Linked DNA regions of Cricetulus griseus. The protein of the gene in region 2 purifies or fractionates together with the protein of the main gene of each other region. This does not show direct contact. Links are inferred from orthologs where the notes say so. Each region holds a gene or a part of one and is shown on either strand. Other genes may lie near its edges.

What was found.
Region 1: the proteins of Fbxw8 (region 2) and Cul1 purify together in Homo sapiens (affinity purification with western blotting; 9 studies listed by BioGRID and IntAct, with this or other methods). This does not show direct contact. The link is inferred for Cricetulus griseus from reciprocal best matches to the Homo sapiens genes FBXW8 and CUL1.
Region 3: the proteins of Fbxw8 (region 2) and coiled-coil domain-containing protein 8-like purify together in Homo sapiens (affinity purification with mass spectrometry; 3 studies listed by BioGRID and IntAct, with this or other methods). This does not show direct contact. The link is inferred for Cricetulus griseus from reciprocal best matches to the Homo sapiens genes FBXW8 and CCDC8.
Region 4: the proteins of Fbxw8 (region 2) and Cct2 purify together in Homo sapiens (co-immunoprecipitation; 3 studies listed by BioGRID and IntAct, with this or other methods). This does not show direct contact. The link is inferred for Cricetulus griseus from reciprocal best matches to the Homo sapiens genes FBXW8 and CCT2.
Region 5: the proteins of Fbxw8 (region 2) and Cul7 purify together in Homo sapiens (affinity purification with western blotting; 12 studies listed by BioGRID and IntAct, with this or other methods). This does not show direct contact. The link is inferred for Cricetulus griseus from reciprocal best matches to the Homo sapiens genes FBXW8 and CUL7.

What each region holds. Positions count from the first base shown.
Region 1 is NW_023276806.1:222,430,793-222,434,663, reverse strand, and holds part of Cul1 (cullin-1), read left to right. Parts: intron 1-447; coding exon 448-579; intron 580-1,637; coding exon 1,638-1,755; intron 1,756-2,975; coding exon 2,976-3,052; intron 3,053-3,512; coding exon 3,513-3,644; intron 3,645-3,871. UniProt on the Homo sapiens protein: Core component of multiple cullin-RING-based SCF (SKP1-CUL1-F-box protein) E3 ubiquitin-protein ligase complexes, which mediate the ubiquitination of proteins involved in cell cycle progression, signal transduction and transcription.
Region 2 is NC_048597.1:97,991,319-97,995,189, forward strand, and holds part of Fbxw8 (F-box/WD repeat-containing protein 8), read right to left. Parts: intron 2,532-3,871; coding exon 2,325-2,531; intron 1-2,324. UniProt on the Homo sapiens protein: Substrate-recognition component of the Cul7-RING(FBXW8) ubiquitin ligase complex, which mediates the ubiquitination and subsequent proteasomal degradation of target proteins.
Region 3 is NC_048602.1:11,621,386-11,625,799, reverse strand, and holds the start of coiled-coil domain-containing protein 8-like, read right to left. Parts: upstream 2,903-4,414; 5' UTR 2,109-2,902; coding exon 567-2,108; intron 518-566; coding exon 1-517. UniProt on the Homo sapiens protein: Core component of the 3M complex, a complex required to regulate microtubule dynamics and genome integrity. It is unclear how the 3M complex regulates microtubules, it could act by controlling the level of a microtubule stabilizer.
Region 4 is NW_023276806.1:139,266,951-139,270,821, reverse strand, and holds part of Cct2 (T-complex protein 1 subunit beta), read left to right. Parts: intron 1-343; coding exon 344-444; intron 445-642; coding exon 643-770; intron 771-1,677; coding exon 1,678-1,781; intron 1,782-2,727; coding exon 2,728-2,847; intron 2,848-3,455; coding exon 3,456-3,584; intron 3,585-3,734; coding exon 3,735-3,838; intron 3,839-3,871. UniProt on the Homo sapiens protein: Component of the chaperonin-containing T-complex (TRiC), a molecular chaperone complex that assists the folding of actin, tubulin and other proteins upon ATP hydrolysis.
Region 5 is NW_023276806.1:256,079,034-256,082,163, reverse strand, and holds part of Cul7 (cullin-7), read right to left. Parts: intron 1,902-3,130; coding exon 1,741-1,901; intron 1,579-1,740; coding exon 1,362-1,578; intron 1,285-1,361; coding exon 960-1,284; intron 169-959; coding exon 26-168; intron 1-25. UniProt on the Homo sapiens protein: Core component of the 3M and Cul7-RING(FBXW8) complexes, which mediate the ubiquitination and subsequent proteasomal degradation of target proteins. Core component of the 3M complex, a complex required to regulate microtubule dynamics and genome integrity.

The DNA.
Region 1 (3,871 bases), on a different chromosome or scaffold from region 2:
TTTGTTTCATTTAATGTTTCAAAGATTGATTTATTTTATTATATGCATATGAGTGTTTTGCCTGCACATGTGTATGTATATGCACCAAATGTGTGCCTGGTGTCTGTTGAAGTTCCTCTGACACTGGAGTTACAGAAGGTTGTAAGCTACTATGTGCTTGGAATAGAACTCAGGTCCTCTATAAGAACAGCAAGTATTCTAACCCACTGAGCCATCTCTCCAGCCCTAGTGCTTTGCTGCTTGCTACTAAGTCTAGTTTAATCAACTGGAATTTAAGGAATGGATGGCAGTACTTACTGTAAGCATTCTGGAGTGAATTTATGCTGTCTGTACAAGTTAGTACACAGGCCCACCCAAAACCAAGCAATCGTTGGCTCCTGGTGGTAGCCAGAGATAGTTAGCTTGTGAATTTACTTCACTAATGTGTTCTTCTCCTGGCTTTGCCAGATGGTGGTCTTCAAGTACATCGAGGACAAAGATGTGTTTCAGAAGTTCTATGCAAAGATGCTTGCTAAGAGACTGGTCCATCAGAACAGTGCGAGTGACGATGCGGAAGCAAGCATGATCTCCAAGTTAAAGGTGCTGTTCTTTTCCTGGTGAACTCCCACTTCCTCCAGGGCTTTATTGATGTGGTTATTAGTCTCTCCATGCCGTCAGTGGGCAGAGGGGTTTGTGCAAATGAGCCCTGCTTGGGCTGGCCTGGGCTGGGCTCTGCTCACCATGTCCTCATCTTCGCCTGCCTCCCACCACTCAGCCTTGTTGGCTTTGGGTGAATGCTTAGCAGCTTCTTAGCACAGGCTGCCAAAACAAAACACCATGGACCAGGTGACTTAGGACAGAAATTAAGTCTCTATTTCTGAAGAGGGCATTCCTCCTGTCTTGAAGGTCACCACTTCACTTGGCAGAGTACCTGTGGAGAGCATCCTCTTACAGAGGCACCAGCCCCTGAGAGGAGCCCTACCCTCATGAACCCACAGGAGCTGGCCCACCTCCTAACACCTCCAGCACATTCTGGAGGGGACAGTTTGGAAGTAGAATAAGGGACAAGCAGATTATTTGGGATATGGGGGTGTGTGATTTGAGGGGCAGTTGTGACAGCCCAGGCTATCCTTTCACCTCTGCTTCCAAATAGATGGAAGGAAGGGAGGGAGGGAGGGAGGGAGGAGGAGGGAGGAGGAGGGAGGAGGGAGGAGGGAGGAGGAGATGGATGGATGGAGGGATGGATGGATGGATGGATGGATGGGTGGGAGGGTGGGTGGATGGATGGATGGATGGGTGGGTGGGAGAGTGGGTGGATGGATGGATGTGCACCACTACACCAGGTTGTAATCATTTCCCAATTGTAATCTACTAAAGTGGTAGAACACTTTGTTTTAAATGCTGCAATATACTTATTGCATATTAAAAACTTAATTGTTCAATTTTTAATGAACTTTTTGTCACATACTAATTTTAATCAGTATATATATATATATATATATATATATATATACTATAAGATATGACTAAGTGTTACTAGTAGTTTCATATAACAAAGATATGTTGTATTGTGATTTCTCCAAAATTCCCTTATATATGTTGTAGACATTCCATGTTTCTATATGAATTAATGAGATAATTGCCTTGGTTCATTTCAGCAAGCTTGCGGTTTTGAGTATACCTCCAAACTTCAACGAATGTTTCAAGACATTGGTGTAAGCAAAGATCTGAATGAACAGTTCAAAAAGCACCTAACAAATTCAGAACCCCTGGACTGTGAGTATTGAGTGCTCATAGAATGACTTTTTGGGACTAAACTGCAGAGGAGAGAAGTGACAGAATATGGAGTAAGGGTGGTAGATGGCGACAGAATTCCAAAGACTAAGAAAGAGAGGACCTTCTCTCCCTGTTTGGGGCGTCTCCTCTAACTCCCAGGATGCTATGATGGTAGCCTTGTCAGGACGAGATGATGCCAAGTCACATTTCCTGTAAAAGGAGGTCTTAATCGGTCTAGATAATAAAAAGCCAGAGTCAGATAGCTCAGAGATCAGAGAAGAGCAAGCCACGGAACACCTTACCTTCTTAGCATCTCAGCAGACAAAAGAGCAATTTCCTGTTTCTCCCTGCTTATATCCTGTTTCTGCCCAGCTACCTCACTTCCTGTCTGTCTGTACTGACCTACAGATCTCTGTGGTTAGCTAGAGGCAAGCTCCATTCTCTGACCCTCAGACAGGCATATCTGTATAAGCAAGATATCACCACATTTTCCAGGTTGGGCTTTGCTGATGTGTGGGCTTTTCTTCTTTTGAACCTTAGTTTGGATGCATTTCTGATTATTTTCCTTCTCTCGAGTTTTTTGATGAGAGTTGGAGAATTTTATTCTTCCCAAATTTCTACCATCATTAAGCTTAATTCTTTTGCTAGTAGACATCTAAGTTGTCTGTAAAGATAAAATTACCCTGATTTGTAGGTTATACGTGTCTCCTATCTGTCTTCACCAACTGTAATGCAGGTGGTTTTTTTGCTGTTGAGCTTTCCATGTCCTTGTATTTGGGGCTATTAAACCATTCCTGGTCACCACATACTGCTTAAGCAGACTGAACTTCATATATTAAAAAAATAAATAAAAATGAAATTTAACTTGGAACTCTCCATTGACAGTGAAGTGGAGAATTGTTGTCCTGGGGGAAAGCGGTTTCCTGTTCTACAACCTTTAGTCTGAGTTTCTGACATAGAGCATCTCGTTGTGTAGCCAGCTAGCCTGGACTTGTGGTCCTCTGTGTCTGATGTTGGGATCACAAGTATACACCACTATGTTAGGCTTCCATTTTTACTCATTTTAATTGGATAAGTTGAAACTCTCTGTGTTCAAATCTTAATTTTATATTTAAGCAAGACTTTTAATGTATTTTCTTTAATTTTGACCATTTCCTGTGTATGTGCAACAATAGAATTTTTCAATGTGTAAGAGTAATTAAATGTGTTTCCACCCCCAGTGGACTTCAGTATTCAGGTCCTCAGTTCCGGATCGTGGCCCTTTCAGCAGTCTTGCACGTTTGCCTTGCCATCAGAGGTAAGGGTTGTTACCTGATCTCTTTGAGGTGTGTGGGGAGGGCGAAGAGCAGCCTGGCCATCAGTGTGCTGAGCTGTGCTGAGCTGTGCTGAGCTGTGCTGAGCTGTGCTGAGCTGAGCGGTCAGAGCCGTGTTCGTGGAGAACAGGAAGTGGGCCTGGGTTGGTTAGCAAAAGGTGGTCAACTCTGTTGCTGCAGTATTGATTTATTCCTATAAGTGGAGAATCTCATTGGCTGCATGGTGAACTCTCTGGTACCTACTGGGCCTGGAGTAGAGACCTACTTTGGTTCTACTCTCCAGTGCCTACCGTGCTCACGAGACAGTTGTGCCTAACAGCTGTGGTTCACGTCTCTGTAAGCACTGATTTTGTTCTCAGAACTTGGGGCAAGGAGCTTTATTTAGAAATGCTGACTGTAGAATGTAGAGCCATCGATGCCACGTAGTGCTGTCCTTTCATCCAGCTGGAGCGCAGTTATCAGCGGTTTACAGCCTTCTACGCCAGTCGCCACAGCGGCAGAAAACTGACATGGTTGTATCAGCTGTCCAAAGGGGAACTAGTCACTAATTGCTTCAAAAACAGATACACTCTGCAGGTAAAACCATCTTTTTAATGGGGGGGGGAGGTTATTTTAGTACTAAATGATAAGACATATTATAGAAACCCTTCGAGATAACTCATGTGATAGGAGGAGTTCATCTCTAAAAAAGTAGTGTAGAGGGTAAAGCTCGCTTGCTGTGGTCAGGGGAGCTGAACTCATGTTCTTTTGCCTAGGGGCAAGTTACCTCCTTACTTTGAGCCTCAGTTTTCTCCTCCATTTTG
Region 2 (3,871 bases):
AAACAAGACTTCAAACAATCACCATAGTCTGACTTCACTGGGAAAACACCAAAAACAAACAAGGTAACAAAACTGAAGGCAAAACAGACAAACTGAGCAATCAAGTCCTTCCTTTGGGAACCAGAGCCTTTCCAGCTCGGAGAAGGAAACAAGAGAGAAGAATCCGGTGCCTCCTCCTTGCCCCTTCCTGGGAAGTCACTCCGGTGGCTTCCCCAGGGGCTCCCCAGCTAGGAATGAGGGAAGGGCTGACCCAGCACAAACTGCTGCCTTCCAGAGAGGCCTTTTGCTGCCACTCTGGGTCTTATATGTAGAAGCCAGGATGCTTCAATTTTTGAGCACCACACTACCCCAAACAATGGCACCTATGAATCATATTTGACTGCACAGTTCAAATATATGGGGGGAAATGAAACATACAAATACCATTGGAGCCTGGAATCCAAGTGTGAGCAGCAGAGAAGAGGAAATACAACAGGGCTGACTGAGCTGCGCTGACGTGAACCAAGTACACCCTTCAGTGGAGCCCAAGCTTATCAGCAGGTACTGCCGGAACCATTTACAAAAGAGGAAACAGGCAGGGGCTGGGGAGACAGACACTCAGCAGCTAAGAGCACTGGCTGCTCTTGCAGAGGACCCAGGTTCAGTTCCCAGCTCCAATAATAGCTCAAAACCACCTGTATGTAACTCCAGTTCCAGGGGATCCAAAGCCCTCTCTGACCTCTAAGGGCACATAGCATGCATGAGGTGCACAGAAATACACATAAAATATAAAATACATTAATCTAAATTTTTTAAGAGAGAGAGGCAGAAGGAGGTCTAGGCAACCTGCCTGAGGTCACACTGGGTCATAGGAGACAGGGCTGGGCAGCTTATGTGCAGAGCCTGCCTCTCCAATTCACACCACTGCTGTGTAGGAAAGGGAACTCCTTCATTAGGAGAAGGAGCCCTTGGCTCAGGTGTTTCTTCCCAGGAAGACCCTGACTGCCAGTGGGGTAGAGAGCAGCAAACCAAAAGGAACCTAAAGCCAAAAGAAATCCACACATCTCCCCTGATCCCACCCAAAAGGGGCGAGTTCTGTAAACCAGCTTTAAGACTGAGGACTTGGCCTGCAATCATATGCTAAAATGCGGCGATAACACGGCCATCAGCCGGGCGTTGGTGGCTCACGCCTTTAATCCCAGCACTCAGGAGACAGAGGCAGGCGGATCTCTGTAAGTTTGAGACCAGCCTGGTCTACAAGAGCTAGTTCCAGGACAGCCTCCAAAGCCACAGAGAAACCCTGTCTCGAAAAACCAACAAAACAAAACAAAAAAACACGGCTATCACCCAAGAGTTAACAAAAGACTTTCTTCCTGTCTGGCTCACACACAGCAGCAGGCACTTTCATGCAGCTAATGACAACAAAAACTATAACGTAAAATTTTCATTTTATTTCCTAATTTTATTATATTACTGTGTATATGTGCATGGGGCACATGCCATGGTAATACATGGGTGGAGGTCTGAGGATAATTTTGTGGAGTTGGCTCTTCTCCTTCCAGGGATAGAACTTGGGTCATCAGGTTTGTGTAGCAAATATCTTGACTTGCCTAACTGTCTCACTGGCTCTGCCTTAGAATGTGATTTAGCAATGACCATCTACATGGTGATGCATTTCCTAAAGACAGACTGCACAAGGATCTCTGCAAGTTGCAGTGTGTGGTGCAGCATTCCCTGAGGTGGCCCAAACAACAAGGGTGGCCTACATACATACACACCAGTGAGAGTATTGGCTACACAGCCTATGAGCTCTAAACACACACTGGAACTCTAGGGCAGAGCTGGGACATGAGATATGAAACGCTGTCTGAGGTACATTGCTGAGTAAATGCTACACACAGAACAGGGCACAAACCATGACCCCACGCCTGCAAAGACCTGCCCCTTGTCAACAGACGTGTCTACATATGCTAGATTCTTGTCCTTAGACATCTGGAAATCACTAATAACCAACCATGTACAGTCAAGAAGATACTCTTCATCTCATGTTCCATTTACTTGCTTGGATTTTTCTGCCATGCTAATACACTGCCCTGACACGGTTGAAAACAAGAGTATTAACACATCACATCGTAAGGCATAGTGGTTCACACCGCTACTCTGAGCACTTGGGAGGAGGCAGGGCAGGAGGCTACATAGTGAGTTCAAGGCCAGCCTAGGATATCCAAGACCCTATTTCAAGTAACTAAACCAAACCAAAACAAGAAGAGCTTAATTTTCCAGCTACATTTAAAAAATTAAATACATGCTATTTCTTGCTAATGTACAAGTCACTGTTTCCGTACCTTGTTTCCTTCATATACCCATCCCAGACTCTTGACTCCAAAGGCAACCTGGGTGGCTGAGACATCCAGACATGTGGCAGGCTGGCCGTAGACATAATGAAGGGTTCTGGCTGAGTCCTCGGCCTTCAGCAGGTATACCAGGTCCCCAGCTGTGGCTATTGCCACGGGGTACCTCCCAGTATCCGGGACTATTTCCAGGTAGTCAACCTGCAAAGAGAGTTGTTTAGTCACCCACAGTCATTTTGACTTGTTCAAGAAAGGAATGTCCCCTGTACATCAAGAGGACAAAGGCCTAACTCACAGAAACAGTTGGGCACAGGGATCATTTATAGGGGATGAATATGGCTTCTGCCCAGATGAAAAGATGCCTGTAACAGCGGAAACACAACGTACTCTGAGAAGGGAAGCCACAAGGGAAAGTCTACGGAGACCCCATTTTCCACCTGTCGATCCATGAGGATCAGGGGAAGTCAGAGGTTACAGAGCTGGAGGTGAACAGGGGACATAATCCAGTCCAACTCCTTCTCTGGAATGACTGGCAATGCCTACCACAGCGGCAAGCTCACGCTGACCCAGGAGATCCCTCTAGCAGTGCTTACACACCATGCACAGCAAAGGTTTATGCATGGTGTCACTACAGTGCCCCTCCTGTCACTGTGCAGACATGACACAGACACACAGCAAATGCCATACATCCACAGGAGAAAACCTGAAAGCTGCTTATGATTCAGTGGGATCACAGTGGAGATGAACTGGGTCTGGGGGAGCAAGGGAACAGTATTCCTAGTGGGTTGCCCCCAAAATTCTGGCAGATGGGCGGAGCTTCAACACACTTGGCTCAGGCCTGGGTATGTCTGGTAACAATGGCTATCTTCAAGGGTGGAAGCAGGCTGAGATGGAAAGGCATTTCCAGCTGTTCTGGGTCTTATAAATCCTGAACATGGCAGTGTCTAGAGCTATCCTTAATTATTTTGTTGTTTTACCAGAAAGTGAAAAAGTAACACTCCACCAGTTCCAAATGCAGAAAAACATTCTGGAAAACGTGTAGGTACCACAAAGGCATCACCAGAGGATCCAAACTGTGTTCTTAGCTCTCTCCTCTCTGCCTGTCAGGCACTGATCACCCTGTGCCATCTTTCATCTGAGGATAGAGACCAGTACAGACAAAACACACGCTTGTCGGTGTCTTCTCTGACTGCACAGGGGGAAGATGACTCTTTAGGATGATCCGCTTCTCCCCAGAGCAGTCTTCATCAGGCACACCTGCTTAGAGTGTGGGTGCTGAGGGTGAATCCACTGTGGAATTATAAAAATCCGTGGTGTAAAGGACAGCATCACCCTGACAATATGCCAGAGGCTCTCAAAAGCCCGAGTTTTGCAGGCTGCCCTGGGGAGCTGAGCACAAGCAAACATCCGGTGCCTGTGCTAATCCTGGGCCCAAACTGCACCGAGGCAGCCCAACATCTTGGGCTGTGTGTCCATCACAAAGGCCAGCTGCTCCAAGCTAACACTGCAGACCTGGGAACATTGCCACTGTTATTTAGGAA
Region 3 (4,414 bases), on a different chromosome or scaffold from region 2:
TCTGGTCAGCTGGGACCTCCACCCTCTGATTTTCTGCAGCTCCAGTCCTTTCATTAGCTGGACCTTCTGCCCTCTGACTATCTATGGCTTCTGCCCTCCGGTCAGGTAGGGCTTCTGTTCTCTGATTGCCTGCAACCTCAGACTCAGGCTTATCTGGGGCCTCTGCCCTCAGATTAGCTGGAGTCTCAGCCCTTGGATTAGCTGCAACCTCTGCCCTCGGATTAGCTGCAGCCTCTGCCCTCAGGTCTCCTGCAGCCTCTGCCCTCAGATCAACTGCAGCCTCTGCCCTCGGATTAGCTGCAGCCTCTGCCCTCGGATCAGCTGCAGCCTCTACCCTCGGATTAGCTGCAGCCTCTGCCCTCGGATTAGCTGCAGCCTCTGCCCTCGGATTAGCTGCAGCCTCTGCCCTCGGATCAGCTGCAATCTCTGCCCTCGGATTAGCTGCAGCCTCTGCCCTCGGATTAGCTGCAACCTCTGCCCTCGGATTAGCTGCAGCCTCTGCCCTCGGATTAGCAGCCTCTGCCCTCGGATCAGCTGCAGCCTCTGCCCTCGGCTGCATCAGCTGCAGCCTCTGCCCTCGGATTAGCTGCAGCCTCTGCCCTCGGATTAGCTATAGCCTCTGCCCTCGGATTAGCTGCAGCCTCTGCCCTCGGATTAGCTATAGCCTCTGCCCTCGGATTAGCTGCAGCCTCTGCCCTCGGATTAGCTGCAGCCTCTGCCCTCGGATTAGCTGCAGCCTCTGCCCTCGGATTAGCTATAGCCTCTGCCCTCGGATTAGCTGCAGCCCCTGCCCTCGGATTAGCTGGAGCTCCTACCCTCCGATTGGCTGCAGCCCCTGCCCTCGGATCAGCTGCAGCCTCTGCCCTTGGATTAGCTGCAGCCTCTGCCCTCCGATTGGCTGCAGCCCCTGCCCTCCGATTGGCTGCAGCCCCTGCCCTCGGATTAGCTGCAGCCTCTGCCCTCGGATTGGCTGCAGCCCCTGCCCTCCGATTGGCTGCAGCCCCTGCCCTCCGATTGGCTGCAGCCCCTGCCCTCGGATTAGCTGCAGCCTCTGCCCTCGAATTGGCTGCAGCCCCTGCCCTCCGATTGGCTGCAGCCCCTGCCCTCCGATTGGCTGCAGCCCCTGCCCTCGGATTAGCTGCAGCCCCTGCCCTCGGATTAGCTGCAGCCCCTGCCCTCGGATTAGCTGGAGCCTCTGCCCCCTGGATCTCTGCAGCCTCTGGGGGCCCCTGGGCTGGCATGCCTGTGCCCTGAGCTGGGAGTGGCGCCGCCTGCTCCTTCCTGGACCGCCTCAAGGAGACCCACTTGAATTTGGGATTCCAGCAGCTGGTACCCTGTGTCTGGTCGCTCCCATCCTCCGAGTTTCTGGAGCCATCGTCCCCCCTGGTGAGGCTGTGTCTCAGTCCTCCAGCCCTCTCAGCTGCCATGGAGGCCTGCTGGGCCTCGCCCACCTCGGAGCCTGACCTGGGTGCCCAGCCCTTTACCCTCTGTTTCAGCTTCCCCCAGGACACCTGACTGACATACTCCCGCCATCTGTCCGCCTTGGATGGCCTGGGACCCAGGTTGTTCTCAAACATGGGCACTGGCAGATTGACTCGGCGTCGTGGAGGAGGCAGGCCGGGCTTCTTCTCTCCCCGGCGGAGGAAGGCCTCCACCAGCTCCTGATCATCCTCGCTCTCCACGTCGCTGCCCAGGAATTTGCTGCCCAAGTAACTGACCGGCATTTTGCGCACCTTTCTGGTCCTCTGGGAGCCCCTGTTGCCTTTGACTTTGGAGGTCTCCAAGTCACTCAACTCGCTGTCGCTGGCGTTGCTGCTGTCATAGGTGCCTACAATCAGCCGGAGTGGAGGAGTGACCATCTGGGGGATTGCCCTCACTCGGGGCTCCTTGGCTCTCTTGCGGGGCTGGGGTGGGTGTGGAGTACTCTTTTCGATGATTCGGGCCACGTCTTCCAGGGTGCGGCCCTCCTCCTGCAGAAACTGCATCAGCCGCTCGCGAAACACAGCTTCCTTGGTGGCGGGCTTGGAGATGACCCTCCACACGCCCCCAGCCAGCCGGACCTCCCGGGGGATGAGCAGATAGTCAACATCCTCCCCAATCTGCAACATTCCCACCGTGGAGTCCTCCTCTTTGCGGAACACCTTCCCGATCTTCTTAAAGGTGCCCACGGGCCTTAAGGCCTCCACCAACACGTCCAGATCGACATCTTTGCAGACATCAGGGACACTCCAGAGGATCAGGCAATCGGGGGAGGGGAGGAAGCCCCAGGGGAACCATCCCCCCACGTGGCTTTTCTCGAGAGTCTTTAAGATCTCCAGAGTGGACTCTGGGGCGGGGGGGCAAGAAGCCCAAACAAACAAACAAAAAACTTGCTTCTAGTCTTGGGGAGAGGGCAGAGAGGGTTCCAGCAACTCTCTGCTCACGCAGAGTGTCACCTCCCCGCAGTTTGCTCCGCAGGCGATGAGTCCAAGTTGGGTTTCTCTCACCCCTCGGAGTTGTAGCGAGCAATTTTCCAGGGTGCTTACGGGAAGAGAGAGGTGAGGTCAGTCCCGAGGCTCAAAGCTCGGTCCAAACTGGAATCGCCAGCGTCCCCGCTCCAAGCTGGGAACGCACGGGCTCTGATCTCTGATCGCTTCTCCCTTGGCCCCGACACCCCGGGGTGCAGCTGAAAGTTTGTGGGAGGACTCTGCAAACAAAGGCGGCTCAGCGTGGTGGCCGTTCAATATGGCGAGGAGCTTCAAGGCCTCCGCCCAGCACCGAGGAGGGTCTCCCGCCCCCAGGAAGGCAGCCACCCGCTCCAGGCTGACCTTGCTTGCTGTCTGTCTGCGGTGGAGCTGAGAGTGGCAGGAAGTTTCTGGGCGCCCTCCCCTCCTGGGTGAGGCCCACCTTCTTCTCATCTTACACTCTCAGCCTGGGAAGACTGGCAGCGGAGCTGTCCACTCCCTTCAGGGCAACCTCCCTCTCCTCCCCACAGAGGTGTGGCCGCCCCCTAGGGCCTCGCTGGGGCCACGGCTTCCCATCTCAGCTTCCAAAACCCACGTCATCATGTCCTCCTCCCCCCCAACCCCCGCCCCCGAAAGGCAGCGGGTCTCCAACCTGCCATACTCGACGTGCAAGGCTAAGGCCAGTGGACTTACCGGGATGGGACCAGAGAGATGGCTCAATGGTTAAGAGCCTGGGCTGCTCTTGCAGAGGCCTTGCGTTGAGTCCCAGGACCCACGTGATGGCTCCTAATCCTCTGTTACTCCAGGCCCAGGGGATCCAACACCCCCTTCTGATCTCTGTGGGCACTAATGCACATACATAGCCGCAGGCAAGACATTCATGCACATAAAAAAGGGACCCACAAGATAACTCAGTGGGTAAAAACATTTGCCATGCAAGCCTGATGACCTGAATTCAATCCCCAGAACCCACATAAAACCAACTCCACAAATCGTTGTCCCAGGGCTGGAGAGATAGCTCAGAGGTTAAGAGCACTGGCTGCTCTTCCAGAGGTCCTGAGTTCAATTCCCAGCAACCATATGGTGGCTCACAACCATCCATTATGAGATAATGGTACCCTCTTCTGGTGTGCAGATAGACATGGAAGCAGAATGTTGTATTCATAATAAATAAATGAATCTTTTTTTTTTTAAAAAAAGAAGGTTGTCCAATCTCCACACGCATAGATTAAACATATGCAAATATATACACAATGATAAAATTTTAAAATACAATATTTTCTTTAAAAAATCTTTTAAGATCAAAGAGATATTGTGGTACCTTAGTTCTTAATTTACTATGTATCCCACGTGACCTCAAACTTACAGTGATCCTCCTGCCTCATACTCTGACTACTGGTCTTCTGGGCGTGCATGGGCTACCATGCCAGGATGAAAGACAATGTTTTCAACAACAACAAAAATTAAGTAAAGAAGTGACTTTAGGGGTTGGAGAGATGGCTCAGTGGTTAAGAATGCTGACCACTCTTCCAGAGGATGCGGGTTCAATTCCCAGCACCCATGTGGCAGCTCACAACTGTCTGTAACCCCAGTTCCCAGGGACCCAACACCCTTGCACAGGAATACATGCAGGCAAAACAGCAATGAACATAAAAATAAATACATCCTTTTTAAAAGGGTTAATATCAACATATAACAATTAATTTAATACCAATATAAAAACATCTACCAGACATGGAGTGCACACTTGTGATCCCAGTACTTGGAGGATGAAGAGACTAAGGTCATTCTCAGTTACAAAGAGAGTTCAAAGCCAGCCTGGGCTACAAGAGACCCTGTCTCAAATAACAACCCCAGGGGCTGGAGAGGTGACTCAGTGACTAAGAGCCCTTGGTGCTCTTGAAAAAGAGCTGGATTTGGTTCCCAGCACCCACATGGTCACTCACAGTCACCCAGTTGCAGGGGATCGG
Region 4 (3,871 bases), on a different chromosome or scaffold from region 2:
ATAGATTCTGGTCTATTGAATGTATTTCTATTGTTTTGTTTTGTTTTCTCTGTGTTACAGTTCTGGCTGTCTTGGAACTCACTTTGTAGATCCGCCTGCCTCTGTCTCCCCAAGTGCTGGGATTAAAGGTGTGTGCCACCACTACCTGGTCCTCAAATATATTTTAAATATTGAGTTGAGTTTGTGATCATTGCTGTAATAGAATGCTTTTTAGATTCTGGGAACATGGTACATTGTACTTTAAAATGCATTATTTGAATTACTAATTTGGTAACCCAGATAACTTTGCAGATTTACTAATGCATCATCAAAGTATTTATTGCCGCCTCTGTTTTTGTTGTAGGTTTTCTGTTGGATAAAAAGATTGGAGTAAATCAACCAAAGAGAATTGAAAATGCTAAAATTCTTATTGCAAATACTGGAATGGATACCGACAAAATAAAAGTACATGACTATATTTCTTGAAATTCTATTGCTGATTGCTGTTAATCAGGAGTCAAGTACATTAAACAGCTTGGGATCTGTTTGAAAATAATATATATGCCCACATATACTTTGTTCATAAAAATACTGTGTTATAGAACTTTATAGAACTTTAAAGAGGAGTGAGACTTAACTCTGTCTTTATGTCTTTCATCTTAGATATTTGGCTCTCGGGTCAGAGTTGATTCCACGGCAAAGGTTGCCGAAATAGAGCATGCAGAAAAGGAAAAGATGAAGGAGAAGGTTGAGCGTATTCTTAAGCATGGGATAAATTGCTTTATTAACAGGTCTGTGTTTGCTTGTGCTGACAGTGTTTTCAGCAAACCCTAAAGTTATTTTTGTTTCCATGTGAATTTATTTCCTGTCAAATTGCTTACTGTTAGAAACTGTTGTATATGGTTTACTTACAGTTACAGATTGTTGCAACTCAAGCAATCAGCTAAGACATACTCAGTGGACTGTTAGTTAGATTAGAGGCAAGTTTTACATGTTCTAAGGTTCCTCAATCCTTGTTGCTAGTCTCAGTACTTTATTGTACTGTACTCAGTTTTTCATGTTGTGATAAAAGGATACAGTGCTTGATGTGGTAGATGAAGTGAGGCTAATTAGTTGGGTGTTGTCACTTAAAGTACAGTAGTCAGTCTTGAGCACTCACAGTGAGATAACATCCATCTTCTAATGTAGAGAGAGGGCCACTAAGGGACTAGTAGACAGAAGAACACACTGGATTCACCAGAGGACTGATGATTCATTCATGCAGTTGTGGGACAGTGTACAGCAATGTCAGATTCTTCTGGATACTCAGGATAGGGAATGGCTTCAATATGATGAATTGTTTCTCTTGGAATTTCTGAGGGAGTGATTCTAGCTGGAACCTGAGAAATGAATCTCTTAAGGGGGAGACTCTTGGGTAGAAATAGCTTTCTTGAAGATTTTTAGCATTTCATTGCTGTAGATTACTGGTTTGGGGTTGTTTTGTTTTTTAATTTCTTTTTTGCCTTTGCTATGGAGGTTAGAGAGCTTGTGGGAATGGGATCTCTCCCATTTGAGACCCAAGGATTGAGCATACATCATCAGGCTGGTTTTGTTTGTTTGTTTGTTTGTTTGCGGCGAAGTAAAATGTTTACAGGTTTTGTATTTCATCATGAGAAGTGGCCATTTTGAGCATAAAGTTCCTTTGTATTTTGTTTGCAGACAGTTAATTTATAATTATCCCGAACAACTGTTTGGTGCTGCTGGTGTCATGGCTATTGAACATGCAGATTTTGCAGGTGTGGAACGCCTGGCACTTGTCACAGGTATGGAAAAAGACATTAGTTTCTAGCAAGTATAATTACCATTCTTGTATTTATTGAGCATTACTGTGCAGTGCATTGCTGAGAATAAGAAGAAACCCCTTAAAGAGCTAAGGGTATATAAGTAGTTATTCTGAATTTTGCCTTTAGTTACATTGTTTGAAGAATTATATTGATTTTTGTATGTTTTGGGTGCATATGAGCCATGGCTAGCATGTCTCTTCCCTTGTGAGTCTTGGGTCTCAAACTCAGGTCATAAGGCTTGGTGGCAAATATCTTTATAGTATTCTGAATTATCTTACTGGTCCCAGAAGTAGTAGTAAGTAGTTAGTAGTAGTAGTAGTAGTAGTAGTAGTAGTAGTAGTAGTAGTAGTAGTTTTCTCTCTTAGAAATGCTTGGTGCTTGGTACTCAAGTTTCTCAGATTTTGGATCTTGGGTGTGTGGAGTGAACTACTTGATCATGCATAGTGAGATAACGGGGTAAAATTCAAGTCTAAACATGGAATTCATTTTTATTAGATATGTATGCCTCATACACAAAGATATCTTCAATATTTTTGGTTGACTTGCGTTTTTACTGGTCCATTGCGTGGACTCAGATACAGTATTTTCTACTTCAGTTATTTTTGTTCTTAAAAAGTTGCACATTTAGGTTTCAGTTTATGAATGTTTAATATGTATACCAAATTATATAAATGCTAGGTTTGCCATGGCTGTGGAATTCTTTTTGTTGTTGTGTTTCAGGACACCTAGTTCTTTCACACAAATATAAAGATTAGTTTTCTAGGTATAGTCTAAACAAATTGGAGCTTTAAAAAGTGAATCCAAAAACAGCCTCAAACCCACAGAGATCCGCCTGCCTCTGTCTTCCTAGTGTTGGTATTATAGGCGTGTGCCACCATGCCCAGCTGAGAGCTATTTTAACCCTGTAATGTGTTTATGATCATAGGTGGTGAGATTGCCTCCACTTTTGATCACCCGGAGCTGGTGAAGCTTGGAAGCTGCAAACTTATTGAGGAAGTCATGATTGGAGAAGACAAACTCATCCACTTTTCTGGAGTTGCCCTTGGTGAGTGACTATGTAAATTTTGGCTTAAGTATCTAGGTCCTTGTTGGCCTCTTGAAGCAAAAGAAAAGTTACCGTAGTGCTAAAATACATTCTATAGGTGAGACGGTGAATCAGGTGCTTGGTGCTGAGATTGATGACCTAAGTTCCTTCTCTGGGACACATACAGTAGAAGGAGAGAACCAGTTTCCCCTTACTAACATGCATGCATACCCCCACACACATACACCCAAAGATTAATACGTGCAGTGGATATATAAGCATGCATACTCCCCCACACACACACCCAAAGATTAATACGTGGAGTGGATATATACGGACAAATATAAAGTAAATTTTGAGAGGGCCTATTTTTTGTTTTGTTTCAGTGTCTTGAGGTCTTACGTTGATATTTGCTGTGCCTTTTTGAAATGTGTACATTTAGCATAGATTTTCTTGATTAACTTAAGAGTACTTACAAACATGGATTTTTGCAGAGAAAGCATTGCATGGTAGATGACATCAGCTACCAAAACCCAATAATAGTCATGCATACATAAATAATGAAATGCAAATAACTGTGTGGTATGTGACTACATGGAAACTGACATGAATATTATATTTGATGTTAGGTGAGGCTTGTACTATTGTACTTCGTGGTGCCACACAACAAATTTTGGATGAAGCTGAAAGGTCTTTGCATGATGCCCTTTGTGTTCTTGCCCAGACTGTGAAAGATCCTAGGACAGTCTATGGAGGAGGTAAGTATTTGGAAAGTGTTAAATTCTTTCTTGACTTGTAAAAACTAATCATGTTAGCCTTTGATTTTAAAATGACAAACCTCAAGGGAAGTCAGTTCGTTGTTTTGGAGAGAGCAGAGCACATAATAGTTTTTGGATTTTAATTTGTAGGTTGTTCTGAGATGCTGATGGCTCATGCTGTGGCAAAACTTGCCAGTAAAACTCCAGGAAAAGAAGCTGTAGCAATGGAGTCTTTTGCTAAAGCACTAAGAATGGTAACTATTAAAAAGAGATCTGAACATTAGTTT
Region 5 (3,130 bases), on a different chromosome or scaffold from region 2:
GCAAAATGAAGAAGGGACAGGCCACCTTTAGGTGGTTGAAATGTAGCAGCAGCCACATCTGCACTGTGGACACATGCAGGGTCTGGTCCCCAAACTGCAGCTCAGCCCGGCCTTGCCAGGTCCACTGAAGTTGCCGATTTGGATCTTCCTCTCTGGCATGGGTCTGACCTGAAGAAATGCCAGGGGAGGAGATGGGGGAAAGGAGGGGGAATGCACCACCAGTCAAGCTCTGCCTTGCTACTCTGCAGTGTGCAACCCCAGGCAGGACTTCTGGAATGGTGGCTCCTAATCCCAGCTTCCCTAAAGAGCCTTGGGTATCAAGGAGCTCAACTGTGCCAAGCAGGTTGCAGCCATACCCTTTGAGTTGTGTTCAATTGTTTTAGAGACAAAAATCCCTGAGTTGAGAGGCTTGTCCTCCTGCCTGTCTGGGCCTCCTGAGGGGGCTCTGCTCTTCGCCTGCTGTGATTTGCCCAGTCTAGAGTCTCATCTCCAGCCAACACTTTGAGACTAAATGTGACCATTGAGGGAGGAGCACACACCCACTCTTTGGTTCTGTTTTTGAGACAAGGTCTCTGTGTAGCTCTGGCTGGCCTAGAACTCACTATGCAGACTACCTTCCATGCTAGTCACATGCTAGACTCAAACTCTTAGAGATCCATTTGATTCTTCCTCCAGAGTTCTGGGATAAAGGTGTACTCCACTATGCCTGGACACACCCACTCATAAAGCCCTTTCTTGTGGCCTGTCTTAGAAGACTTATACCTCTATCTCCCCCTATTCCCTGTCCCTCTAAGGAAGTCTTACCTCCTGAATCCTATACCCCCTGCACAAGGGCATGCTGGGATGCTATGGTTGTAGCCTTGCAGGCTTCTGATTTCAGCACCTACTCCAACTCTCTGTCCCTTTCTCAGTAGCCAACCCTTGTCCCCAAAGCCCAAGCCCTCTTCCCAGTTGCTTACTCTTGTTGTAGAAGTTGGAGTAGTGGTTTAAAGTCCCCCTCAGATATGAGGGCAGGCGTGCCGTAGAACTGAGCATGTGGCAGACCGAGGTGACAGGCCAGTAGCGTGGAGACAGCACAAGCACACACACTTCTGGCATTGTCCCTTCATAATATAGCTCCTCCTCCCCCTCCTCCTCCTGCTCCTCCTCCTGCTCCTCCTCCCTCTCCTCCTCTTTCTCCTCCTCTTTCTCCTCCTCCTCTTCTGCCATAGCCACAGCTGCTATCTCTCTAGCAGCCTCTTCCTTCTTGCTCTTGTGCTCCTTGACACTGTCCTCATGGGCCACCTGAAAGGGAACAAATTTCACAAATGCTGAAGGCCTCCTCTCACCTCTTCCTTGCCCATCCCTTCCCTGGAACCCACCTGTATCTTCTTTTCTGTGTCTTCCAGCTTCAGGAGCTCCTGATCGAGCTGCTGGAGCTGAAAAACATGGAACTGACGCTGCAGCTCCTCTGAGATGCTCAGACTCTGTAGCATCTGTTGGGGAAGACGGTTGGGGAAGCAGAGGCCAATCTGCTCCATCACAGCCCCCTCCAGCCAGCTCGAGCCTACGCTCAGGAGACGGTCAGCCATGTAATGCCTGTAGCACACACAGTTGGGCCAGATCTCAGCGTGGGTGCCAGTTTGACCCAAGTTCTCACTCTGTCCTGTCTGTGTCTCAGACTCAGACCCTGTGAGCTGGCCCTGCCCCACAACAGAGAGCTTGCCTTCCCCATTTCCTACTCAACAGATCCAAACTCACTGGTAGTAATGCTCAAAGGTAGTGGCTATCTCCAGGCGAGAGAAAATAACGACAGACTCCAGGCATCGCTGAAGCTGTGCCAGCATCTCCATTCCCCGGGCTCCACCCATCCTACTGCCTTGGATCCGCTGGTCAATGTGCCGAGCAAACTGCTCAGTCACCTGAGTAGAGAGCATAGGAAAACCACAAGTGAATGAGCCAGGGCTGAGGAAGCAGGTATGATGGCCACCACCTGCATCCATCCCTCAGCCTCCACGCCCCCTTCAGGAGGTGCTGGGGATGGAATCAGAACTAATAGTCATACACAGAACCACAGCCCTGGCCTAGCAGACACTTTCATTCACAGGCAAGCAAATGAGCAACACTAACAACTCTGAAAAGTCAAGTTCCCCCACACTGTGTCTAAAAATCAAATCATTTAAAAATGAAATCACTAGGCATGACAGCACACATCTATTATCCTAGCGCTGGAGAGGTGGAGGCAGAAGGATTAGGAATTAAGGAGGGGCAGGGAGTGTAACTCTCCATCAGTAGAGCGAGCACATGCCTAGCAAGCACAGGCCCTGGGTTCAATCCCCAGCACCACACAGTATACATGCCTGAACTCCAGCACTCAGGACACAAGGCAGGAGGATCAGAAGTTCCAAGTCATTCTGGGACTACATAGTGAGTTTAAGGCAAGCTTGGAATATATGAACCTTTGAAAAAGTTGAGTGTGGTAGCCCAGCACTCGGGAGGCATAGGCAGGCCTGAGTTTAAGAGTAGGAGGCCAGGGGCTGGAGAGATCGCTCAGCGGTTAAGAGCACTGGCTGTTCTTCCAGAGGACCTGGTTCAATTCCCAGCACCCACATGGCAGCTCACAACTGTCCAGTTCCAGGAGATCTAACACCTTCACACCAATGCACATAAAATAAATTTAAACTAGTTTTTTTTAAAAAAAAAAAAGACTAGGAGGCCAAGTTGAGACTCTCTCCTCTCCCTCCCTCTCTCTCCTCTCTCTCCTCTGTCTGTCTATCTTAACATGGTGTATGTAGGGCTGGAGAGATGGCTCAGAGGTTAAGAGCACTCACTGCTCTTCCAGAGGTCCTGAGTTCAATTCCCAGCAACCATATGGTGGCTCACAACCATCCGTTATGAGATCTGGTGCCTTCTTCTGGTGTGCAGATATACATGGAAGCAGAATGTTGTATACATAATAAATAAAATCTTAAAAAAAATTTAATTCCCAGCAACCACATGGTGGTTCACACCCACTTTGAATGAGATCTGGTGCTCTCTGGCATGCAGGCAGAAGACTGTATAGATAACGAATAAATAAAATCTTTAAAAAAAATGGTGTACGTAATGAATTTTTCCTAATTTCCAAGATATGGTCACATACAACTACCGC